Oryzias latipes: one gene and its partners. The protein of the gene in region 1 purifies or fractionates together with the protein of each later gene. This does not show direct contact. Links are inferred from orthologs where the notes say so. Each region holds a gene or a part of one and is shown on either strand. Other genes may lie near its edges.

Evidence for each region. Proteins that work in one complex are often made in the same cells at the same time.
Region 2: the proteins of cdkn1b (region 1) and cdk6 purify together in Homo sapiens (affinity purification with western blotting; 8 studies listed by BioGRID and IntAct, counting the BioPlex papers as one, with this or other methods). This does not show direct contact. The link is inferred for Oryzias latipes from reciprocal best matches to the Homo sapiens genes CDKN1B and CDK6.
Region 3: the proteins of cdkn1b (region 1) and spdya purify together in Homo sapiens (affinity purification with western blotting; 3 studies listed by BioGRID). This does not show direct contact. The link is inferred for Oryzias latipes from reciprocal best matches to the Homo sapiens genes CDKN1B and SPDYA.

Annotation. Positions count from the first base shown.
Region 1 is NC_019864.2:11,436,228-11,440,426, reverse strand, and holds the start of cdkn1b (cyclin-dependent kinase inhibitor 1B), read right to left. Parts: upstream 2,811-4,199; 5' UTR 2,490-2,810; coding exon 2,063-2,489; intron 1,861-2,062; coding exon 1,745-1,860; 3' UTR 1,732-1,744; intron 942-1,731; 3' UTR 1-941. Other genes in the region: yars2 (tyrosine--tRNA ligase, mitochondrial), read right to left, coding at 3,968-4,127. UniProt on the Homo sapiens protein: Important regulator of cell cycle progression. Inhibits the kinase activity of CDK2 bound to cyclin A, but has little inhibitory activity on CDK2 bound to SPDYA. Involved in G1 arrest. Potent inhibitor of cyclin E- and cyclin A-CDK2 complexes.
Region 2 is NC_019869.2:9,947,215-9,950,735, forward strand, and holds part of cdk6 (cyclin-dependent kinase 6), read right to left. Parts: intron 470-3,521; coding exon 302-469; intron 1-301. UniProt on the Homo sapiens protein: Serine/threonine-protein kinase involved in the control of the cell cycle and differentiation; promotes G1/S transition. Phosphorylates pRB/RB1 and NPM1.
Region 3 is NC_019880.2:27,229,345-27,232,144, reverse strand, and holds part of spdya (speedy protein A), read right to left. Parts: intron 831-2,800; coding exon 745-830; intron 650-744; coding exon 478-649; intron 407-477; coding exon 58-406; intron 1-57. UniProt on the Homo sapiens protein: Regulates the G1/S phase transition of the cell cycle by binding and activating CDK1 and CDK2.

The sequences.
Region 1 (4,199 bases):
CATTTAACTTAGGTTTGACAGCCTGGAAACATGTGCATGGTCTTTGTCCTTCAAAAAAAAAATGAGTGCCTCACAACTCTGGGGATCGAAACATTTACAAAATAAAAGCATCAGAACTCCAATTTTAAAATAAATATTAAAAAAAAAAAAAGGAAAATAAAAGGTACTTGCTGAAATTTTTAATTTCATCCTGTGCCATTTCCTGTGGATCTTTAAAAAAAAGAAAAAAGAAAAAGTGGCCTCAACACAAAAAAGGGAAGAAAAGAAAAACACGTTCATTAGGCAGATGAGCTACATTTGTACCATTCCTTGCTGTTGAGTTAGGAAGATGACGGCATAAAGGCACACTGTTGAGAAACTAAAACCATGATTTTCTTTCTTTTTTTTTAAATGTAGCATTTATGGACTGGGTCAACACCACAGTGCCTTTCAAAAATATTAATAATAATAATAAAATGCAAACAGAACAGCATTTTGGAAACATGTTTCAAACCGAACACTTCAAGTCAAATCAAAATTCACACCTCTTTTACACAAAGGATTAAAAAAAAAAAAAAATCAATGTTTTTATGTGCTACATAGAAAACATATATATTTATTTATTAAATTATTTACACACAGGTAGTTAAAAAAAGAAAAAAATCAAACCTAATTGCACGCTGCTACATGGACTGCTGTTAGAGGCAGTAACATTTCAATGAGTGCCACAAACTTTAGTGTTTCTCTTCAGTGCTTCAACAGCGTCCTCCCCCGTCCTCAGGAGAGCTGATATGTTTCTGATGCTGTGTAGATCCTCGTCCAAAAAAAGGAAAGAATAATTAAAAAAAAAAAAAAAAGATCAACGCAGTCTTAAAAACAAAAAAACAAAAAAAAACACATGCACGCATACGCAAACACACTCGTACAGAGAAAAAAAAACTGGGAGGGGCACATCTTGAGCTCTGTTGGAGATCAGAACAAAAGACAAAAACAAAGAGGTTGAAAGGTTAGTACTTTTTTTTCTTTTAGGAGATGCAACTACTACTGCTAAAGTATTGACAGTGTTCTGAGGTATGACTGAAAAAAAAGAAGAAACTAGTCATTTCCAAAAACAAAACAAAACTATCAACTCAAATAAAGCTCGGCTGCATACCATTTACAAAAACGTGCAATTTTTTCAGTTCTGTTAACTTTTATTTTTACTAAGAAGAGACGAAAATGAACATGGGATTTTTTTTTACTTAAAGATAAATCGAAGTCAAAGTTCCGCTAATTTAACCTTGACTTTTTTTGCCACAACCTTTAAAGGTTCACACCTGACAGCTTAGAGCAGGTTTCTGTGCTCCTTCTCTCTTGTGGGTCATAGTAGACCTGCAGAACTCTCGTACTCTCCTCTGCAGCAGGGAGTGTACATGTCTGCGTGTGTTTCTGCGCGCGCGCGCTCAGAGACCTGCCCCTTCCCGTCCGCGCGGAGGCCACTGGCTGCTGACGTGTTACTACTACACTGTTGTTCAGCTTGTTGTTTACAGTTCAGCAGACGAACATCGGCCGCAAGGAGGAAAAAACTTTTTTTTTTAAAAATTCTTTATTGGCGTGTCATATAAATCCTCTTGGTTTAATAAACAGACTTCACTTTTTTGCGCTAGAATGCGTCAATACAAATAAAAAAAAAAATGATGTAAAATTTAATATCTTTTTTTTTTTTTAAATTCGAGGTTAACAGTTTTTTTTAAATTGAAGTGGTTCGCTCACCGTGTCGCCGTGCTCACGTTGGTCTCTTGGGGCTGGTCTTTCTGGGTGTGTGTTCTGCAGACTGGCTCAGGCTCGGACAGCTAACCTCCTCCGGGCTGGTGTGAGACTTCTTACTTGGGGCCGAAGGGTCTGCAAAAATAAATAAATGAGTAAAATAAACTATATATTACAGAGAGAAAAAAATGGTCGGGGTGCTCAATGTTCTCTGGGATTTTACGGCAGTTTCCCCCGCTTTACGACCCCCTCATCCCGCATACCAGTACCGCGAGCACAAAGCTGCCGCCCGGCGATCTGTTACACAGCAACGGGTCGTTTGATGCTAATGTCATACCGTGACACGCAGGTCTCTTCCTCAGCCCGCCGCACTGCTCCGTGCACTCCATCTGAGCGTCAGAGCGGCTGGGAACTGTCCCGACACAGTCATGATTCCCGTTTAGATCCACATTGTTATTCCCGGGGCAAACGCCTCGTTCTCGCCGCGGCAGGCGGGTGTAGAAACTCGGCAGGTCTCTGGCGTTCACCAGCTCCCACTCCAGCCTGCTGTTGGGCAGCGGTGTGTCAGTCGCGAAGTCGAAGCCCCACTTGGCGGAGGCAGCCTCTTCAAACTCCCGCAAATGTACATTTAAATCCCTCTTTAACTCTTCGTGGTCCACCGAGCCGAAGAGGCTCCTGCAGGCTGACGGCTTCGGGTGTTCCGACACCCGGGGCTCCGTCCTCTCCAAAGTCGGGCTCCCGCTCGAAAGTCGAACGTTAGACATGGTTAAGCCCCCCGGAAAAAAGGTAAAAATTTCAAGCAGCCGGGAGCGTCCAGTTTTCAGGCGAAAAACACACCTCAAGAAGAAAAAAGAAAAGAAAAAAAAGGTATGTCCTCCTAGTCACGGGGAAAGATCCAAAACAGGCGTGAAACGACCATGCGCACGTCGAGCTGGAGGCAAACACGGCTGCGATTTCCTGAGCCGAAGACGGCTTACGCCAATCATCCAAACGACGGGAGAACGAACCAAAGCTCGCTGTCAACGTCGCTCCGTACAGCGGGAAGCGGAGGCGAACCTCTCGGTACCCAATATGGCGATTGAGACATGTAGTGGGGATTGAGAGGGGAGGTTGACTTTGGAGGGAGGGGGAGGAGGGTTACACATGATTGACATACGGAGCCATTTAAAACCCAAGAAGCGCACTCATTGGATGGAGCTCTTTAGACCCGCCCACTTTATTTAAGGTAGACCGAATAATTGCATAAGGCATGCTGTTCTAAACATATTACTTACCTTTTTTATTTTTTTTACAAAGTAAATAAGTTCACACATTTGATGTAACTTAATGTACAAGTTTCAAAAAGTAAAATGGATTAAACATTTTAAGACATCTAAATTTGAAGAAAAAAATTGGATTGCAACCATACAAATAGTGCCAATATGTTCTAAAACACACATATTCAGTATTTATTTTAAACATTTTGGATGTACAGTAAAATTAATAAATACAATTAAAATGGAGTAAAATCCAAAACAAAACTGAAATTGTTGCATCATATTCTTTCAATGGACACTAATAAATGAACCTGTGGTCCTAAATGGAGATAAAGTCCAGTAAGAGGACCCCAAACTGAGCTGATTTAGTAAAAGCCTAATAAACATTTTAATTCTAAAAAATTTTCTTACCGTAACAAAATCTGTACATATATCGGAATTATTGACTGAAAATATTTATATATGAAGTAATAACATATAAAGATGAAAATAAATTTCTGCTATCCTAAAGTCAACTGTTTTTTTCCAGATTTATCATAAAGCTTCTTAGTTTTTACTTTTTATTCACATGCAAAAAAAAATAAACACCCCTAAATGAGAATAGAGGGCAGCTTGATGCTTAAATTGAAAGTGGCGCAGTCGTCTTTAAATAGAACCAAAAGCCTTTTGACAGAAATGATGCAATCTAATTTAGCTGTGAGCAATTATTTACTCAAAGGGTCAGAGCAGGATAGGAGGTGCAGCAGTGTTCACTCAACCACTGTCAAGCCAACAGCGCCCCCTAGAGCTTCATCTAACACACAACTCTGGAAGCACAAATCTTTTAATACCTTTAAATACTAAAGTTGTCTGTACGATTACATTTTTAACAAAGGCCACATGGACTTACAGAGTCACCATTATGAGTCCGCTACAGTCTGCTTTAGTCGCCTACCTTGCCTGTAAGTCCTTTACGGCGTACAGGCACTGCGGTGGGCGGTGCAGCCTCAAAGACCGAGCCACTTGATGATGTAGTAGTTCCTCTTGCCCACTCTGAGCAGAGTGAGTCCGTTGGACAGGACGTGGAGTTTGGGGACGAGAACCTGCTCCGGTTTGTCCGCCCGTGTGTGGTTGATCCACACGGCTCCGTCTGAAACCATCTGGTACCTGCAAGCGAACACGACGGCTCAGTCAGGATCCAAATCCCATTCATTTCAAGTGTTTTCAACCAAACCCAAA
Region 2 (3,521 bases), on another chromosome or scaffold:
GTAAGTGCCCAGACAAAACACTGGATGCTTTTTATCCAATTCTCAGGAGAAGGGAGAAAAGTTCAAGCCATGTGTTTTGTGCATTAGTTAAAAATGGGGAAAACAGTTTTAGAACATATGAGAAAATGAAAGAAAAAGCTCTAGAATAAGCTGGGAGGTTTTCAGGAGATGCTTAGTGGACAGGTGCCATGACACTTAGTTGGCCAAAGCTCCACATGGCATCAGGGTCAGGGAATAGTTCCCCATCAAAGACAGAGAGGCTAAACTCTGTGCCAATAGGGTTTGATAGGCACTAACTCACCACAGATGTCAGAGCCATCTGGAAGCTGTAGATGCGAGCTAGCCCAAAGTCCGCCAGTTTGATCTGTCCTCCGCTAGTGACCAGGATGTTTTGGGGCTTCAGGTCACGGTGAACCACACGGTGCGAGTGCAGGAAGTCCAGTCCCTGGAGCAGCTGGTACATCATATCCTAAAAAAAAAACAGGTTTTAAGAAAGAAATTACAAACTGAATTTTTTAACTTGGTGTGTTTGACCTGATGAATATGATTCAGTAAAACTAACAACTTCAATTAATGCATCTGCACAGAAAGTTACCAAACAAAAAGTAACAACATACAAATGCAACAAGACATTGAAGTATTGAGGGAGTCAACAAGAAGAAGCCTATCTCTTTTCTTGTCGACTGTGGCAGATGTTTGATAACTGACTATAACACACACACACACATACACACACAAATGACAGCGGCAGAGTTAGGCCCCTGCTTTGTGCGAGAACAGATCTGTGTTGGCGAGCAGCTGTCCTGCTATAGTTAACTGTTTCTTGCTTGCTTTTCAGGCCCGTCAGCAGTGACTTCAAGTAGCACTGCATCTACGACAAACTAGCAAACTATTGTGAGCAGGAAAAAGCTATTTCCAAACCAGCTTAGACTTGTTCTTTTGAAACTCAAACAGGTCTTACACCTGTAAACAAATAGTTCAAGGGATAGTGGTAAGGCAGTTTGTTACCTCAACTGTCATCCAGGCAACTTAATGCATCCAGTTCATGTTTTTGCATGTAAGAATTAGGTAGGGTAGGTAACATAGAGCAAGGAAAAACAATGGTAACTAAAATTACAAAGACACATGTTTTTTTTTAAGGAAACACATATCTTAAACAAACAGCTCCAAAACAGTCTATCAAGACCCCACAAGTGAAGAGGACCAGAGTCCACAGCTCTATTAAGTGGCCAACCAGCTGGTGTGCGAGTCAATGAGGCCTGTGAATTCAAGCAGAAAACATTAGCAAATGGCGTGGGGCCTGGTTGTGTGCTAGCCATAGAAAAGACTCCCCACACGGTTTTGTGGGGATGATGAGCGATGTGGCACAAACGCTCTGTACATTTGGTTATAAAGTAAAACGGGTATATTTGCGTACATGTGTACCCCTGCGTAAGGGTGCATCACTGAGTGAAAGCATGCAAAAGCATGTGGGTGCCCTCTGACCATAGGCAGGATGCATAAACAGTCCTTCCTTTCTACATCTCCATTCAGCCATGACCTATGAAGAATGGCAGCAGACACACAGGGCCATAGGACAGAGGCAGGCAGTTAGCCATTTTTGTGTGTGTTTGTGTGTGTGTAGCATGGGGGGGGCTGACACAATAGTATTCCTCCACCCATCAGTTCCTCTCAGCTTTAAATAGTCATTTCACCATGTTTCCTTTCAACAGCATTTCCTAGTAAACACTAATTATCTCACGTGTGACTCTTGGACACAAACAATCTTGGCCTTCTTAGCCTTTTCTATAGCATCAATTACAAACACGAAAAGTCATAAACATTTCAGCATTTTTCCAGAACTAAGCTCAACAAAGGCAATTGAGGCAGTGTCTAATAAATAGATAGAAATGGCAAGATTTACAGTATGTGAGTACAAGGTTGCCTATATGATTTGCACGAGTCAAAAGTTCCAAATTGAAGTTGGAAGGTTTTTTTTCCAAAGGTGCTTTAAACAACTTGTGGAGAAAAGAAAAACCAAACAAAAAGGCAACATATCTAACCCTGAAAAAATGGGAGAAAACAGACTGACTACAAGAGGCAGTCAAAACATGGCTTTCTGAGCTCAGCTCCTTTTTTGATGCTAATGTACCAGAGGCAGCCATATTGTTTATTGTAGTATGGAACAATATAGGACATCTGCCGGTTAGCGTTAGTGTAATTCCCTCCCCATGCTTCATTAACCTCCCCCCTTCGTGGGCCCACGGAGTGGAGCTGTGGAAGTATGGAGGATAGTGGTGAATAGTGGTGGAGGAGGAACCCAAGCACTGGCCCGCCTGAGTAGCACTAAGACTGGGGCAAGCAGGCTGCTTGATGTCCTTCCAGCTCATTTGATCCCTGGAGGGGGGCTTCTTTCATCAATGACCATGTGGTGGGTCTTGAATCAGAGTGGGTGGTGAAGGGTGGAGGGTTGAAGTATTTATCATGGGTAAGGGTTCAGATGGGCCACGGTGGGGTGTCTGTCACTGGTTGGTTTTAGTATGGACAGCAGGTCTTTGGGCGGTAAGGTAATTTAGCTGAGGGTGAATCGTTTTATGGTTCTTATGGGGTTTGGGATGAAGACAATGTTGATGCCTTTTTCAGATGAGCGATGGTTTAAGTTAGACCTGCTGTCATAAAGGTGGAGCTGAGAGCACAGACAGTTGCTCGGGGATAATGGGGTCACACTTGGGTCACTGTGTGTCCTAGAAATAACAGGGAAAGGTGCCTATGATGTGTTGTCACTGCTTGTCCTTTTGTCCCCTTGAGGCTCCAGCTGGTCGGATGTTAAGAGAAAGCCTAAGGAGGAGGGGTGGTCTAATGGGGCATCATGATTGAAAGAGGAGCTTATCCAACTGTTAAACAGTGCTGAAAGCCTCATGTCTCAAACTTGGCTAAAGTTGGGAAGAATTCTATTAACCCTTCAAATCTGACATAGATAAACCGTGACAATTTAACTATCTTCTTCCTTCTTTTTTTCTCGAGATTTTGTTCCAATGATTAGACAATAATTTTTAAACACAGTTTCATAGAATCTAAAACTTTCATCAAGCAAGAAACAGGATAACCATTAGACAGATACTGTAGCGTCCCCAACACTAAAAAATTTTAATGGTAACGAGTTGCTGCCAAAAATAGTTCCACGATGAATTGGATATTGCTTCAAATCAGTAGGGATGCACAATGTCGGTTTTAGGCTTTTAGAGTCCCACTTCGATCATGCAGATGTATCGAAATGGAGCGGAGCAGACCTCTTTTTGTAGTTTTTAGTAAAGAACTACAAACAGCGTTTTTTCATTTGCTCCTGATTCACCACAATTTAAATATAGAAATACTCAGAAATTATTTCAGTATTAATTTTCTTTATCTCCTCCATCATGAGAAAAATGTTACAAAAACATGTTAAAAACACGCAAAACACATTTTTAACGGAAGTGGGTCTTTAAGGAAACATGACAAGTGACATTGAAAGTGCAAGCAATTTCAAATTCATTTGTTTTGAC
Region 3 (2,800 bases), on another chromosome or scaffold:
CTCCTAATGACTGACAGAGACATGGATGCCTGTGTCTGTAGTTTTACTGAGACCTACTGGCCATCTCCTCAGGGCAGAAGCGCTGCGATGGCTGTGCCTGGCTCTTTGACTTCACCGTTTTCCTCTGGGGGGCAGCAACTCGAGGGGGGGTGACCTCCAAACTAGCAGCAGTCGTAAATGAGTGGGATTTTTCCAGCGTCTGCCTTGGCGAGCTTCTGGAGACAGACAGGGAGACGGCCCTGTGATGCAACCTGCCGCCATCGTTGCAGAGGCCACAGGAGGGCGGGGAGGCGGAGGGCCCCCGTGGAAAAGGCGAGCCTGGATCGCTGTACTGCCGCTGGGCACCACTGTGGTGATCAGACCGTGTTCGCTGCCACACAGAATGGGAAGACACAACAGCCATCACCTGGAGGGCAGAATCAGAGAGGCATCAAACACTTCTCAGGGGGGCTCCTGGACGCTTTCTTTGTGGCGTACCTCCTCACAGCAGCGCCGGCTGACAGCGGCTCGGTACTGGATGCGAGCCCACAGCACGTCTCGCTGCTGGAGGAAGCGGGGAAACTGTTTCCTCCAGCCTTTGCCCAGAGCCCAGGGAAAGATTTCATACTTGCTCTGCTCTTCATCCTCCTCCATGGTGTTTGCGAGATAACTGCAGAGGAACAGAAGCTCCGTTTAAACACTTCACTTCTGCCAGAAATGAACTAATGATCAAACAAAAAATGGATCATTTCCAACTGAACTTACAGTGCGATGAAAAAATTCCTTCTGTTGTATTCAGCAATAGTGAAGTGAGCTCGTTTGAAGTACACAAAGGTCATGGCTAAAAGGTACTGGAAGAAAGAAAACAAGTCCATTCAAATGTTTTTGCCTTTCAAGTCCCACTGGTCATTCTTGATCTATTGTAAACCTGTTCCCATTAATTATGAGTTTACCATTTTCAGCCAGCTCAGCTGCAGAAAACGACGTACATGGATGTATTTGTCTGCATCAGAATGGAGCGGAGCAGGAAGCTTGTGGCTCGCCCAGACTATTTCCTGTCACATCTACAATCTTTCAAACGGCATTTTTTCCTCTGCTCCTGACTCAGGATTTGACAATTTGGTTAAAACTTTTGTTTTTTTTAAAGTAGTTAAAGCGTCAACAGAAAACCTTTTTCTGTGAGTGACAACTGTGGAAAAATAAAACTCACTTGACAGTTTTCATATGAATGCAATTAAAAACTGATAATAATCAAAGAGGAGAAGTGAGCTCTCATTTGTAACTTCTGCTTAAAAATAATCTTACAGTATTAGCAGCACTATTAGGCACTTAAAAGCCGAATCTCTTTTTTTTTTTTTTTTTTTAAATCGAGCCTTTTGTGTGCACCGAGTTTCAAAACCTGTAAAAATGTTCTTGTGCCAATTTGGGAAGCGCCTGTTTGACCAGTTCTTGCTGACAGGAGTAGCGATCGCACAGATGAGCGCACTGTGCGTGTTTTGATGGACCCAGGTGGGTCACAAACAATGATTGTGGCGCATGGCACACCTGAATCCAAATTCATATCTGGAATCTTCCCCCATGGCAGTTTGTCCTAAAAGTGGTAGCCGTGCTCCAAGGAAACGATGTGTGTGGAGGTAAAGTTGTGCCACATCTAGAGGGTCCGGCAGAAACCCACTTCAGTGCGACCAAAACAAAGATTGGGACGGCATTTCAGAGCACAAGCTGTCCCCGTCGTGTCATTTTACACGGCCAGTCCCAAAAATACGCGGATGATTGGTCTGACAGCATCTGTTCGTTTAGGAGATGATCATGCTGAAATGGACGGTTTTCTCCCGCTCAGGCGACATTACAGTGGAGCCCTGATGTGTCTGACTTTGAGCGCTCCAGGAAGTCCATGCTCCCCACAGGCACATGGCCGCCTGCCGCGCTCTGCACAAAGATCCAGTCAAACTGTACACAAAGGTGTTTCTAGTATGTTTGCTGCATGCGAGTCTGTGCAAGTCACTCAGATTCAACCCTAAGGATGAGTGTTTGATCATACTCTGAGGTCCCTTCAGGCCTAAAAAGACTCATTCCCGGTGCCACGGCAGGAACAGCAGGATAGAGTGGTGGGAGCGATGGATGACAGACGGATGGCAGCTCCTCCATTTGTGAATGGACATATGGGCTAAAGTCTGAGCTGTAGCTGTTGTATGAGCTTCTACTAAACCTGCCATCATTGCTGAAGAGCCACTTGGCAGCAAACAGAGTCCAACAACGATGAGAGGGAACCTGGCAAGTTTGATTCCAAAATGTTGCGGTTATTTCATTCAGACACTTTAATAGGTTTGTTGGAAAAGATTGATAAAAAGAAATAATGTGAGTGGATTGTTAAAGATTGGAATAAAGTTCAACTAAACTCGTTTTGCCTCGTTTACCTTTTTTTGCACCTTATATTACAGCGCACCTTATGGTGCCGAAAACACAGCCATTTCAAGGGGCCTATACCATGCTATACTTAAGCCTTTTATAGTAAAAATATCCATGTATATATGATCAAAAATTACCTTTGGCAGACTGAAGAATGCATTATTTCTGTGAATTCTTTTCCAACCGGGACGTAAGACGACAGAGTCACCGGCTTTTGCTCCTTGTCATGACAACCTAGAGCCGCCCTCAGCAGCGTTTCTCCCACCAAAACAAAAATCTGAACTTTTGCAAAGATGATGTTCATATTGTGTTTATACAGTGGTGGACAAAATTGTTGGTACCCGTCAGTTAAAGAAAGAAAGTCCACAATGCTTACTGAAATGACTTAAAACGTTCAAAAGTAACAGTAAAT